Chlamydomonas reinhardtii: one gene and its partner. The protein of the gene in region 1 binds, or shares a complex with, the protein of each later gene. Links are inferred from orthologs where the notes say so. Each region holds a gene or a part of one and is shown on either strand. Other genes may lie near its edges.

Region 1 (5,965 bases):
TGCCCCTGCCCCTGCCCCTGCCCCTGCCCCTGCCCTTGCCCCTTCACCGGTCCCTCATCCCCCCCCTAACCTAGTCACTCCGCTCTCCGTGAACGGCCCCCCCACCCTCCCCCCTCGCAGCTCCCTCTCACCCGGAAGTCGGTCTTCAGCAGCACATGGTCCTGGAACTGAAGCGCGTGGCCCGCGCCGCCCGGAAACGACACGTCGGCTGTGCTCAGTGAAACATCAGGGGTACACACACGAAGAAGGCGGCGAAAGAGTAAGACCAAATTCGTAAGCAAGCAATGAGACGAGGACTAACAGCTGGGGTAAAGGGAAAGAGGAGTGCCCAGGAACGTCTGAACCCAAGGCGCCAACTCGGAAAATTGCAGCCGGCACATGGAACGAAGAAGAGCTAGAGCATTTCGCAGTCGCATGTTCATGACGTTCAGCTAGTCGAGGAGCGACGAAAGCGCCGGGCCCAAGGGTCATTCCCCCTGCCCAGTTCTGCGCTTCCCTCCCCGCCCCGCCCGCCCGCGCTTACAGGGGGCTGCCGCGACGCCTGCGCCGGAGCCCCAGCCGCCGGCAAGGTGCGCCGCAAGCGCGCAGCCCAGTAGCAACGTCAGCCGCAGCAGGCGCCGTGGCTGCCGCGCCGGCGGGCTCCGAGACCCGCCGGGGCCAGGGCCGGCGCCGTCCCCGTCGCCTTGTGCTTCTGTCAACATGGCATTCTCTCCGCTTCTTGCTCTTCGCTGTCCTGCCATGCTACAGCTGCCGGCGTAAATGCCTCAGCTATCGCCTCCCGTCAATGCGCAAAGTCGACGCTGTCAGTCTTGCTGCAAAGCGCAACAGGGCTACAAGGATGTGTGGGAAACAGGTGATGCGGAACGCATAAGGAACCCAGTTACACACAAAGCACGTATTGAGCGCGCGCGGGTCAAGGGGAAGTTTTGATGGCCACATCTCTTAACGGCCTCCATCCCGCCTCCCCGACAAGTTCGTGACCTTCCTTGTCCGAAATGCATACCAAGTCAAGCTCCATGCAGCAAGTGCCCAAGCACGCTTGCAAACAAGCCAACACTCTCCGCCAGCCCCCGCGCGCACCCCACACGTATTGCACCATGCTGCCTGCCCCACGGACCAGCAACCCAGCGCGGCCGCACCTGCCTCCTCAGCACCGCATTCCGTTCCTCCGGCCGCCGCCACCACACCTGGGCCCGACAGCTGTGTGCTATCCAGCACATCTAAAGGGGGGAGGCAGAACCACCGCCGCGGCGCGGCCCCAGTAGCCGCCGCGATAGCACCTTGCGTCCCGATCCTCCTCCTTCCTCCTGCCCTGCTGCAGCCTCCTGGTGCCGGCTGCTGCTACAGCCTGTCGGCAGCCGCTCGCCTGTCCGCCCCTCCCATCTCCTCCCTCACATTCTTCCTCCCCTTCTCCCCTTCTAGGAGTTGAGGGCAATCTCCAGCTGCTCCTTCAGCTCGCCGGACTGGTAGGCCTCTGCGGGGTGTGTAGAGGGGGTTTGCAGGCATGACCAATTAGCCGAAGGCGCAGTGGTGCACAGACCCGGGGGGGGGGGGCAGGGTAGCAGCCCGTGCGAGGTGCGGGATTGCTCTGAGCATACCCAGGCAGAAACCATAGACAACAGGATGCAGGACAAGACCGTGTTTGCGTCCAGGCAGGAAGGCGTTAGACGACGGCGGCAATCAGCGTCACGTACACGCAAAGGAGGCAGTCATGCCAACCTTCAACTGAACTGAGGGGCGAGGCCTAGGCCAGCGAGCGAGACGGAGGCGGATGGTGCAAGATGTGTTCGTGGCAACGGGCGCGGTGCGGCGCGCGTGGCGAAGCTGGACGTGCGCGGGACGGCCCACACGCAAGACGTGGCGCGCGCGGCCGAGCAGGCGGTGGCGAGGCGCGGCAGGTGCCGTCGGGTGGAGACGTGGAGTGCACGTGGGGTGGTGTGGGCTGGCGGCAAGCCGCGTGTGTCCATCGCCGCTGTGGCGAGGCTTATTCAACGTGCTTCACGCAAGCTCTACGTGAGCTTAACGTGCGCACATAAGACTCACCCATCATAATGTCGCAACCGCCGAAGAAGTCGCCGTTAATATAAACCTGTGTGTATGTATAAGTTACAATGCGAAGAGGTGGGCAATATGGGCTATACTGGGGCGGGGCCAGGCGGGGCTGCGGTAGGGGAGGGTGAGGGCCGCCCGAACCGAGACTCGTCCCCCGAGGGCCGTCCCCGAGGGCCGGAGGCCCGAGTGCGGTGTTCGTGCAAGAGCGAGGGCTGAGTTATATGTGCGGCCAACGGCGCTTAAGGAGAGGGCAGTGGGATGCAAAGGGCACAGGCGCATGCGGGATCATCAAACCAGCTGCCCACGGCGGCAGCCCGGTGCAACGCCCACCCATCCCGCGTTCAGCCAGTTGCCACTGCGCCAACTGGCTGCCACCTGCTGCTGGCCCTGCGCCCTGCTGCCGCCCGCTACTCCCGCCCGTCCCGTCGCACTGCCGCCGCACGCCCGGAATCCCACACCCCCACCATGGCCCCCCGGCCATCGCCAGAACGCGCCGTGCCTGCCAAATGCAGCAGCAGCGGCCTTCCCCTGCCCCCGCCCACCCCCAGCTCCTGTTGCGTTCACAGCCCCAATGCCCCGGCGGCTCCAAACATGCCCTGATCGAACACGAGCTCCTGGTCACGAGGCCGCGCGTACCTGCGGGAAGGTGGGCCATTGGCTGTACTCCTTCATGCCGCTGCGGATGGCGTCGTCCTCCAGAATGTTAACGGTCTGGTACGGCACATCCATCACGTTCAGGATCTGTTGTGGTACAGACGGTAAGGGCGGGCATCAAGGTGCTGCGCTTGCTCAGCGCTTGAGCAGGGTAGCCGCAAAAGGCGGCACGTGGTTGTGCGGGCCAAGCGCCCGCGTCCTGTCTGGCTTTCGATAGTCACGCATCATAATGTGTAACCGCTCGCGTGTTATGTACCTGCACCACGGTGTTGGAGAAGCCACACATTGGGAACTGGCGGGTGCCCTTCATGAAAACCTGCACGTAGATGGTGCGGGGATGGCCCGAGTCTCAGCGACACAACTCTTTTGGGGGCAGAGCTTTGCCTGGTGCATCAAAACTTACCACCACTTTGTTGGATGCAATAAGCTCGTCAATGGACTTCTTCAAATCGGGGGCCATTCCAGAAGCCGTGACGCGCACAGTCTGGCTTCGCGCTACGCCAATAGATTTGCGCGCAACCTGAGCCGGGCGCCGCGTCAAAATGGTGGTAGCCGGACGCATATTGCACTGAAGCGAGGCCATCTCGGTGGTTCACTATGCTGGCAGGCAACGGTACGCAGAATGACAGTAGCTGGCGGCGCTTTGTACACTCTGTTCATGAATTAATAATGGGTCGCTAGTCTTATGCGGATGGAGTCTTGCGGGTTTTGGGCTGGGTACTGTTCTCCCCCCGCCCCCCCCCCCACCCACCCCCAAATTACAATCGCCCCCCCCCCCGCCGCTGCCCACCCCTGCTCCCACGCCCCTCTCATTTTTTGGTAATGATGTAGGATATACCTTAACAGCAGCCATACAGAATGATAAGGTAACACATCCCGCATTAGACAAGGGGACGAAGGGGTACGGCATACCCTCCCCTGCGGCATACGTATGCATGCCTGGCCTGACAAATCCCGAACGTGTGCCACGGCGCTGCACCCTGCTGCAATGAACCCAGAGCAGCGACAGCCAATGGAGCCACACACGTCCATCAGGTACGCTTGTGCCTGGGCCTTCAGGAGCATTTGGAGATTGAAGGGGATGAGCGTGATGACGAATAATTGAGCCCCGGATGGGGCCGGGGCCTGCCCCTTTTTAATTATCGTCTCACCGGCGGCTCAAGCTACCACGCCACTGTGCCAGCGGGACAGTTCGTCAGATTCTTATGGTTAAATTCCGGGGGAGGGGGCTACAGTATTTCCACCGGGGTGCGGAAAGCGCGGGGCCATGTGAGGCCTCTCCGTTCAGCTGTGGATGGCCTCTCGGTTCCCCTGAACTCTGTGCACTCAGCTGCGCCCACGCCACGTTGGTGCAACGTCTAAAGGCCGAAGGTTGCAAAAGTATCTCATCTCCCGGACCAGCCCGGACAAAGCCGGGCGGGGTTGGCTGGTAGCCTGGTACAGGCACGGCCGGCCATGCGTGCAGCCACGTCCCGCAGTCAAGCACAAGCACAGCAGGCAATACACCAAACAGTAAGGACTCCCCACACACCTTGCCGTGCCATCCTATGCTCGCCACCAAAGACTGCTCGCCAGACACCGGCAGGTCACACCCTGCGCGCCGGCACCGCTACTGGTTGTGCACTGCGCCAGACTGCGCACGGAGCAACTCGGAGCTTTCGAAGGGTTCCGAAGGGCTCCGAGAAGCAGGGCTGAAGCCCCGATGGAAGGGAGGAGCGGGCATTTCGTGCCAGGGCCACCAGCAGGGCGCCTAGACCGCCTGCAAGCCCACTCCGCCTTCCGCTCTGGTCTACGTACGCATTAGTTCCGCAACACTCGTCAATAACCAGCTCAGGGCTGTAAGTGTTGTTACTGAAGTACTGGTTCCTGTCGGTCCCTGTGCCCTGGTATGTGTCCCGCCTTGAAGCCCTGAGCTCTGTACCACTTCCGTGCGCGCGGCTTGATGCCGCTCTCCTTGACTGCGTTGAAGCCAGGCCTGAGCCAGGCGTTGTACATTTAGCAGGTTCCGCTTGCTTGCAAAAGTAAAGTTTGCGCCGCTGGCACGATACGCATATGGTGGGTAACCTGTCATAATTAGTAGTCGCTGCGGCGACTCCAGCGCGAGACAGGACCAAGGACCTGAAGCGAGGCGTAGCGAGCGAGGCCGAACGCGGCGGTTGGCCACTTGGCGGGAGCGGCGTCTCACGTGATACATGTAGCACCAGAGTAGTTTTAGCTATAAACGGGCCCTTGATACGATAAGCTTCCTCTTACAACCCCACAGCTTCTGCCCGACCGGCGCGGCCCTGTCTGTCGTGGGAAACCACGCACCCATAACCGCCAACGGGGAATCGGTGCGCTAGGCGAGCGCTCAGCCGCGTCGCTGCCCTGTTCATTAAATACACTCGCCCTAGCCCCTTACTGTCACCGACCTGACTTAGTGACTGCACGTGCGTGCGCGTGGCAACAGTGTTCCATCATTAATGCCTAGACCAAGCCGCTTCGCCAGGTCAAGTCCGGCAGCGGCCCAGTCATATGACCTTACTTTATAGCGTGGAAGGGATGCAGCGCAGGAGCATTGCTCTCTGGCGTCGCTCGCCCCAGGGCCCCACGATAGATGGTAAGTTGGAGCTCAGGGCTCGAGCAGGTCCAATTGCATACGCGACCCAGACAGTTTTGCCCCACATAGATGCGCGTCTTGTGAGTGTATACGTGCAATCCTTTACGACCCGTCTGCGCGGGTGTCAGACGAGTGGTCTCCGGTCAAACAAACGTGAACCCCGCCGGCTGAATTCCCCCGAGCGACTCCAGACGCGCCCTACAGCAGTAACTGCGGCGTTCGACCAGCCGCGCACTCCTGCCCTGCCGGTGCAAATTGTCTGCCATTTGCTGGGGTCTGGGAATCAGCTGCATCCTGCGGGACTCGGCCAGCCTGCCTTAACACTGTCCCATCGCCCATCGAGTCGCGCCCTGCCTGCTTGCCTACGCTGTGCGCCCCTCACGCTGCCGCCCACAGGCACATACGCCACGTGCGTAGCAGCATCGCCACATGCACACTGTGTGGGAGCTGCTGTGTACCCAGCGACGTATGCATACGTGCCCGCCGGTACAGTAACTCCGGCGTTCGACCAGCCGCGCGCTCATGCACTGCCTTTACAAGCTGTTTGCCATCTGCTGGGGTCTGGGAATCAGCTGCACCCTACGGGACTTCACCAACCTGCCTTGACACTGTCCAATGGCACACTTATGCCCCCGCGACCGTTGCTGACCTCCTTCCTGG
Region 2 (5,686 bases), on another chromosome or scaffold:
GAGATTCACAATGTCATATCGCACCCTTGCTCCAACGTAACTCCACACCCTTGCTCCAGCGGCCCTCCTTGCGGCAAGTGGGAAGCAAGACAGAAGACGCCACCCGCAATGCCCCCGCCCCAATACTGCCTGCCGGGCACGAAGGCATCCACTCGACCGTGCCAAGCAGCACCAAACTATAACGTAACGCCATGTCGCTTGCGCAGTCAGGGCACACTGCACACACCACACCAAGTTCCGATCACCCTCGTCCTCAACACAGCCACCATGCCGGTGCCAAGGCAGCGGCCAACACGGTGTGCGTCTATGGCCGTGGCAGTGCCGCCGCATCAACTGCTGGCAGGGGCCGCCGCCGCCGCCGCCTGCGCCGGCGTCTGTGCCTTCTTGATCGACAGCGCGTGGATGTGCGCCATCTCGGCCTTCAGGGCGTCATTCACCTGTGCAGGGGCCGCAGCGGGGGTGCGGTTGAGTACGGTATCAGACCAATGCACGGCGCACGGAATGGTAATGAGAGGCTTGTTAGGAGTGCGGGCACAGCTGCGTGCTCTGCTGCCAAGTGTGACTGGGGGTGGGCCTCGCTGGGCCCCGGCACCTTCCCCAGGCCAAAAAGCGGGTCGTGTGGTGGGAAGCTGGTTGTTCATGTGTGTTCAGTTGTGATAAAGCTTCCCGGTCGGACCCATGCCTCAGCTACACTTACGCAGCAATATGTATCGGCCTTGCCAAGCTGTTGCTGAGGTGATCCGGCACGCATGACGTTCCGAAAGCTGCGCGGCTGCGCGCCTGTCCTCCTCATGTGAGGGCATTGCCATGGCCCACGGCCCCACGCGGCACACACACACATTACACCTTTCCCCGCGGTTACCTTTGGCCCCAACGCCCCGCCCACTCCAGCTGGGCCCCAGTCAACAGCCTGGCCGCCGGCGGCCCAAAGGCTGACGCCGCACCTCCTTGTCGCCGTGTTGCACCCTTGGTCGCACCGGGGCCTCGTGTTGCAGTCACCGCCGGATCTTAATTTACGCGACTGGCCTGTCACAGAAGTAGCCTTACAACCGACTGAACAGGGCGAGTCTGTCTCAAGTCTCCACGTGACCGGGGGTGGGCCCCGCTTGGCCCCTAGTACCAATAGAGGCCAAAAGGCGGGTCGTGGGAGTGGGAAGCTGCTCGTTTTAACTTTGATAAAGCTTGCCGTTCGGACCCTGACAAAAGAGCAACGGTTAGCGCATCAGAGCATGCACGCAGTAGGTGTCCACAATTTGTCCAGATGTGGTAAGTCAGGCATGGCTACGAGGAGTGACCGCGTGTGACTCTTATCTCCGCCGTCCGCCCTGGGCCGTGGCTCACGACGCCACTGCCTTTGTCGCTAAAGCATAGTACAGTAAGGTGACTGGCACAGTTGCATCGCATTGCATTGCGCAGGAGCAGCATTACCAGTCCTCTCGAGTTGTAACTGTACAGGGCGTGCCATTCTCAAACCCCGAGTCTCCACGTGACCGGGGGTGGGCCCCACTCGGCCCCAAACGCCCATGAGGCCAAAAGGTGGGTCGTGGGAGTGGGCAGCTGTTCGTTTTGATAAGTTGATAAAGCTTCCCGTTCGGACCCATGCCAGGAGAGCAGTGGTTTAGAGTCCGAGTGCATGCCGATTGCTGACAGTAGGTAGGCGTGCTGATGTGACTACGCCGGGTGTAACGGGTCACGGCGGTGGCTGTTATACCCACGTCGGGACCGAGTGCAGTGCTCCGGCTGGGCCATCTTGAGAGGCGGCGAGGGGCACGCCGGCGCTGACCATGTCAGCCCAATGGCCCACCCCTGAAGTACACCGGCCTGCTGGCAACCCCTTGCCGTAAACATTTGACCTGGTGGAAGTGGGCTGCTAAGCGCCACTGCCCCAGTCCGCCTACACGGCTCCCCGTCCCGGCCCCAGAGCCGCACGCCCCTTCCCAGCAGCCCCATTTCCGGTGCCCATACCCCAATTCCCGCAGCCCCACACCGTGCCCCCGCCACCCCTGCCTACTAGCTGCAAACAATGCCTCCAGCAGCTCTCGTAGGCCGCGCTGAGCATCCGTAACATTTCTCTGCACTTATGTAACATTACGGTACTGGGTTCTGCGTCGCGTTTGGGAGGCAAGCATTGGCATTATTTGCAGTACGCCCATCCCCCTGCTCATCCCTTGCACCGACCAGCTGCTGAGGCTCCCCGGTAACTGAGGCTGCCACGAACTGGCAACCGGCGCCCGCACCACCCCCGGTCACTGATGCCGTCCCCACCCGCCTTTGCTCCGTCCTTCACTCCGCGCTGACTGCTCGGCAGCGCACACTGCCACAACCGGCTCCATTACCCGTGTCGGGTGCCAGCTACTCGCCATACGCTGGGTCTAGCTTAGCTATACGTCAGACGCCGGGTCTAGCTTCGCCGTTGGAAAATGCTGCAGTTGTGTGGGGTTGGTTGGGATTTTGGGAACGGGCGGGGCAGTCTTGACCCTCAAGTCTGGGTATGTGACCGGGGGTGGGCCCCGCTTGGCCTCCAGCGTCCACGAGGCCAAAAGGTGGGTCGTGGGAGTGGGAAGCTGTTCGTTTTCATAAGTTGATAAAGCTTCCCGTTCGGACCCATGTCAGAAGGGGAGTGGTTTGGAGCATCAGACCATGCACGCAGTAGGTGCGACGATGCGGCAAGGCGTGACTACGAGGAGCGACTGCCTGGGACTCTATCTCAGACTCAGGCCAGGGGGGACCTGACACGTACTCCAAGGGCAGTCACGGCAGCAAGGGACAGGTGGTTGTTGACTTGCTGTTCTTCAGTCCCCCCGGCAATAAGGCCCACACACACTGGCATCTGGCGCCCGCCCCACACCCGGTTGCTGATGACACGTAGCGCCCGGCCGCCATTGCCGCTTTCACGCCGCAGCTGTCCGGGTCTGGTTGGGATTGCATTGGATGGCCTGGAGAGGCCGGGTGTCAGGCGACCGGGGGTGGGCCCCGGCTGGGCCCGGCACCTCCCCCAGGCCAAAAAGCGGGTCGTGTGATGGGAAGCTGGTTGTCATGTGTGTTCTGTTGTGATAAAGCTTCCCGGTCGGACCCATGCCTCAGCTACGCTTGCGCAGCTATACGTATCGGCCTTGCCAAGCTGGTGCCAAGGTGCTGCCGGCGTAATACTTTGAATGCCCTTGCCGTAAACCTTTGACCTGGAAGTGGGCTGCTAAGCGCCACTGCCCCAGTCCGCCCACACGGCTCCCCGTCCCAGCCCCAGAGCCGCAGGCCCCTTCCCAGCAGCCCCATTTTCGGTGCCCATGCCCCAAATCCCGCAGCCCCTCACCGTGCCCCCGCCACCCCAGCAGCCACGCACCAGGCGGTGTCGCGCAATGAGCGTCTTGCCCTCGAACTGGGCCGACACCACGTACACCTCAAACGCCGACCCGCACCTGCGAGCACAAGAGCGAGCAGTGCGCTTATGTTGTGTGCTATGGGGGCTCAGAAAGGCTGCTAAGCAACGGGGCTAAGTTGCCGCACGAGGGGCACACGGCGCCTCAGGCTGTGGCAGCAGACCCCGTGTGAAGCTTGGTAGCGGCCCACGCTGTCCGAGACGCCTAAGCCTACGTTCAATTTTACGAAGCGGCGCTCAGTCCCAGCCCCTAGCTCCCAGGCTGCGTGGGAACGGAGCAAGTTTGCGACCGGGGTCGTCATGTGTCTGTGCATCCCCAGCCATCCCCACGCAGAGAGCCGTTGTCCTGGACTAAGCCTTTCCCGCCAACCCTTTGCTTACCCTCCCGATGTATCGACGACCTCCTGTACAGCCATGTTAATGAACAGCGATTGTTAGCAATGTGTCACTGTGCGCGCGCATTCGCGTGTGCCAGCATGCTTTACGCACCACGCTAGTTGCTTCTAGAGCGCTCGTCAGCTTCTCCTTCACTTGATCCGCTGTCACACTCATGTTTGTAGAGCGACTTTGGAAGTGGTTAAACCTTTGGGGCCGCAGTCAAGAAGAAGCTTGCAGTAAACGTAAACAGTCTGGGCTCCGTCCGTTTCGTGGTGCTCAAGTGAAACGCAAATGAATTTTGGTTGACAAAATGTCTTTACGGCATCCTGCGCGTTCGCACCAATCCAATCCCATGCTCAGTGACACACGCTCTCGAGCACAATGACACCCCCGCCCACCAGCGTTCGGTGTCGCCCCCGCCGGACTCGCTGGTCCTACGCCGCTCTCCCCTTGCTAGCTGCGGGCTCCGTGCTTGCAGCTTTCCCGCTCCCTGGCACTGCCCCAGCCCCATCGGCTGCTGCAACCCCTGCGTCCGCCTGCGCGCCCTGGCCCCCGACCGGCGTCCCCGCCAACTCCCCGCCTCCACCGCTACTGCCGGTCCCGCTCTCGCCGCCACTGCTCCCGCTAGCGCTGCTGGCCGTCCCCTCGCCACCGCTGCCGCCGGTTGTGGCCGCCTCCCCTTCCAGTGGCGCCCCGTAGAGAAGCTTCTGTAGCAGCTGTGGGCGTGTGAGCAGCGAGGGCGCAGGCGAACCACAACCAGGGACGATGCGTAAGAGGAGGCAGGGGACTTCGGTAGGAGGAGAAGATGTCGTGTCCTTTCTCCGCCATACGGTGTGCCGGTGCAGCACTATGGACCACAAACACAACGCACACAACAGCACGTTGCTGAGGCCGATCCCCAGCCCCCCAGCCCCCCAGGCCACGCCCCTCCTGTACTCAGCCCCCTTCCCAGCCCCCTTCCCAGCCCCCTTCCCAGCCCCCTTCCCAGCTCCCCTTCCCAGCCCCCCTCCTCCCCTCCGCCCCACCTCCTTCTGCAGCACGTGGCCGTGCGGCACGGAGATGTAGTACTCGCGGTCGCCCTGCACAGACACCGGCATCAGCGCCTGCCGCGCCTGCCCCCGCACCTCCGCCACCGAGCGCTGTCGCCAGGGCGGCACCAGCCGCTCTAGAGGCACGTCGTTGTCCTGCGTGTACGTGCGGCGTGCGGCGTGTGTGTTAAAGAGCACAAGGTGTGTGTGTGTGTGTGTGTGTGTGTGTGTGTGTGTGTGTGTGTGTGTGTGTGTGTGTGTGGCCAGAGGAACACGGAGCGCGGGCATCATGATTGGCGCGCTTGGTGCGTTTGGTGTGTGGTTGGTGCGTTGGGTGCGGTTGCTTGGTGCGGGAGTTGGAAATTGGCGCGGCGCGGTGAGCTCGGTGTGGTGATGCGCGCGCCACCTCCCCTCCCCATTATGCATCCGCAGTTTCGCGCCAGCCTACCAGGAGATGTCCTCAGCGATTCAGGCGCCGCCCAGCACCGCACGCCAAAATTGCTCCACAGACCCTCCAAACACGCCCGCCTTCTGGCCCCGAGCCGGCCCCCGCCGCTGCCCCCGCCCCGCCGCCCCCCTGCCCGGCCGCCCCCAGCGCCCGCTGCAGTCGCCCTCACCTCCCTGTTGCCCCAGAAGTCCAGCACACTGAAGCGCACCACCCGCCGCTCCGGCAGCAGCAGGCTCATCTCACCCACATAGCGCCCGCTGCGGACAGCAGCAGCAGCAGCAGCAGCGACGAAAGGTAAGAGCAGCACCAGCAGCAGAAGGTAAGAGCAGCACCAGCACCAGCAACAGCAACGGCATGTCAGGGTTTTGGTTTTTGTGGTGCAGCATGGCCATCTAGCAGAAGCGGGAAACAGCAAGCCACCATGGCACCCACCGCCGCACGAAAGGAGCCACCGAA

Evidence for each region.
Region 2: the proteins of CHLRE_07g325743v5 (region 1) and CHLRE_03g164550v5 are in contact, whole or in part, in an NMR structure (PDB 2MMA), measured with the Arabidopsis thaliana proteins. The link is inferred for Chlamydomonas reinhardtii from reciprocal best matches to the Arabidopsis thaliana genes CXIP1 and AT5G09830. Residues at the interface, in NP_191050.1 of Arabidopsis thaliana: Lys130, Ser133, Asn134, Trp135, Pro136, Thr137, Glu146, Phe147, Phe148, Asp152, Ile153, Glu156, Ala157, Thr160, Glu162, Glu165, Glu166; in NP_568217.1 of Arabidopsis thaliana: Arg46, Leu47, Leu48, Arg50, His51, Arg52, Asn55, Met62, Ile65, His66, Ala67, Leu68, Ser69, Ile70, Lys71, Gln74, Gln78.

What each region holds. Positions count from the first base shown.
Region 1 is NC_057010.1:1,903,593-1,909,557, reverse strand, and holds CHLRE_07g325743v5 (uncharacterized protein), read right to left. Parts: upstream 3,367-5,965; 5' UTR 3,167-3,366; coding exon 3,110-3,166; intron 3,023-3,109; coding exon 2,963-3,022; intron 2,794-2,962; coding exon 2,689-2,793; intron 2,090-2,688; coding exon 2,044-2,089; intron 1,475-2,043; coding exon 1,419-1,474; 3' UTR 869-1,418; downstream 1-868. Other genes in the region: CHLRE_07g325744v5 (uncharacterized protein), read right to left, coding at 132-208, 524-701; CHLRE_07g325742v5 (uncharacterized protein), read left to right, coding at 5,248-5,305, 5,702-5,791. UniProt on the Arabidopsis thaliana protein: May only reduce GSH-thiol disulfides, but not protein disulfides. Probably involved in the regulation of the redox state of the BOLA proteins. May act as Fe-S cluster donors to Fe-S cluster-requiring proteins.
Region 2 is NC_057006.1:3,070,711-3,076,396, reverse strand, and holds the start of CHLRE_03g164550v5 (uncharacterized protein), read right to left. Parts: upstream 4,032-5,686; 5' UTR 3,929-4,031; coding exon 3,866-3,928; intron 3,781-3,865; coding exon 3,758-3,780; intron 3,417-3,757; coding exon 3,341-3,416; intron 438-3,340; coding exon 330-437; 3' UTR 1-329. Other genes in the region: CHLRE_03g164500v5 (uncharacterized protein), read right to left, coding at 4,189-4,470, 4,780-4,938, 5,400-5,487. UniProt on the Arabidopsis thaliana protein: May act either alone or in interaction with glutaredoxin as a redox-regulated transcriptional regulator, or as a factor regulating Fe-S cluster biogenesis. The GRXS17-BOLA2 heterodimer binds a labile, oxygen sensitive iron-sulfur cluster.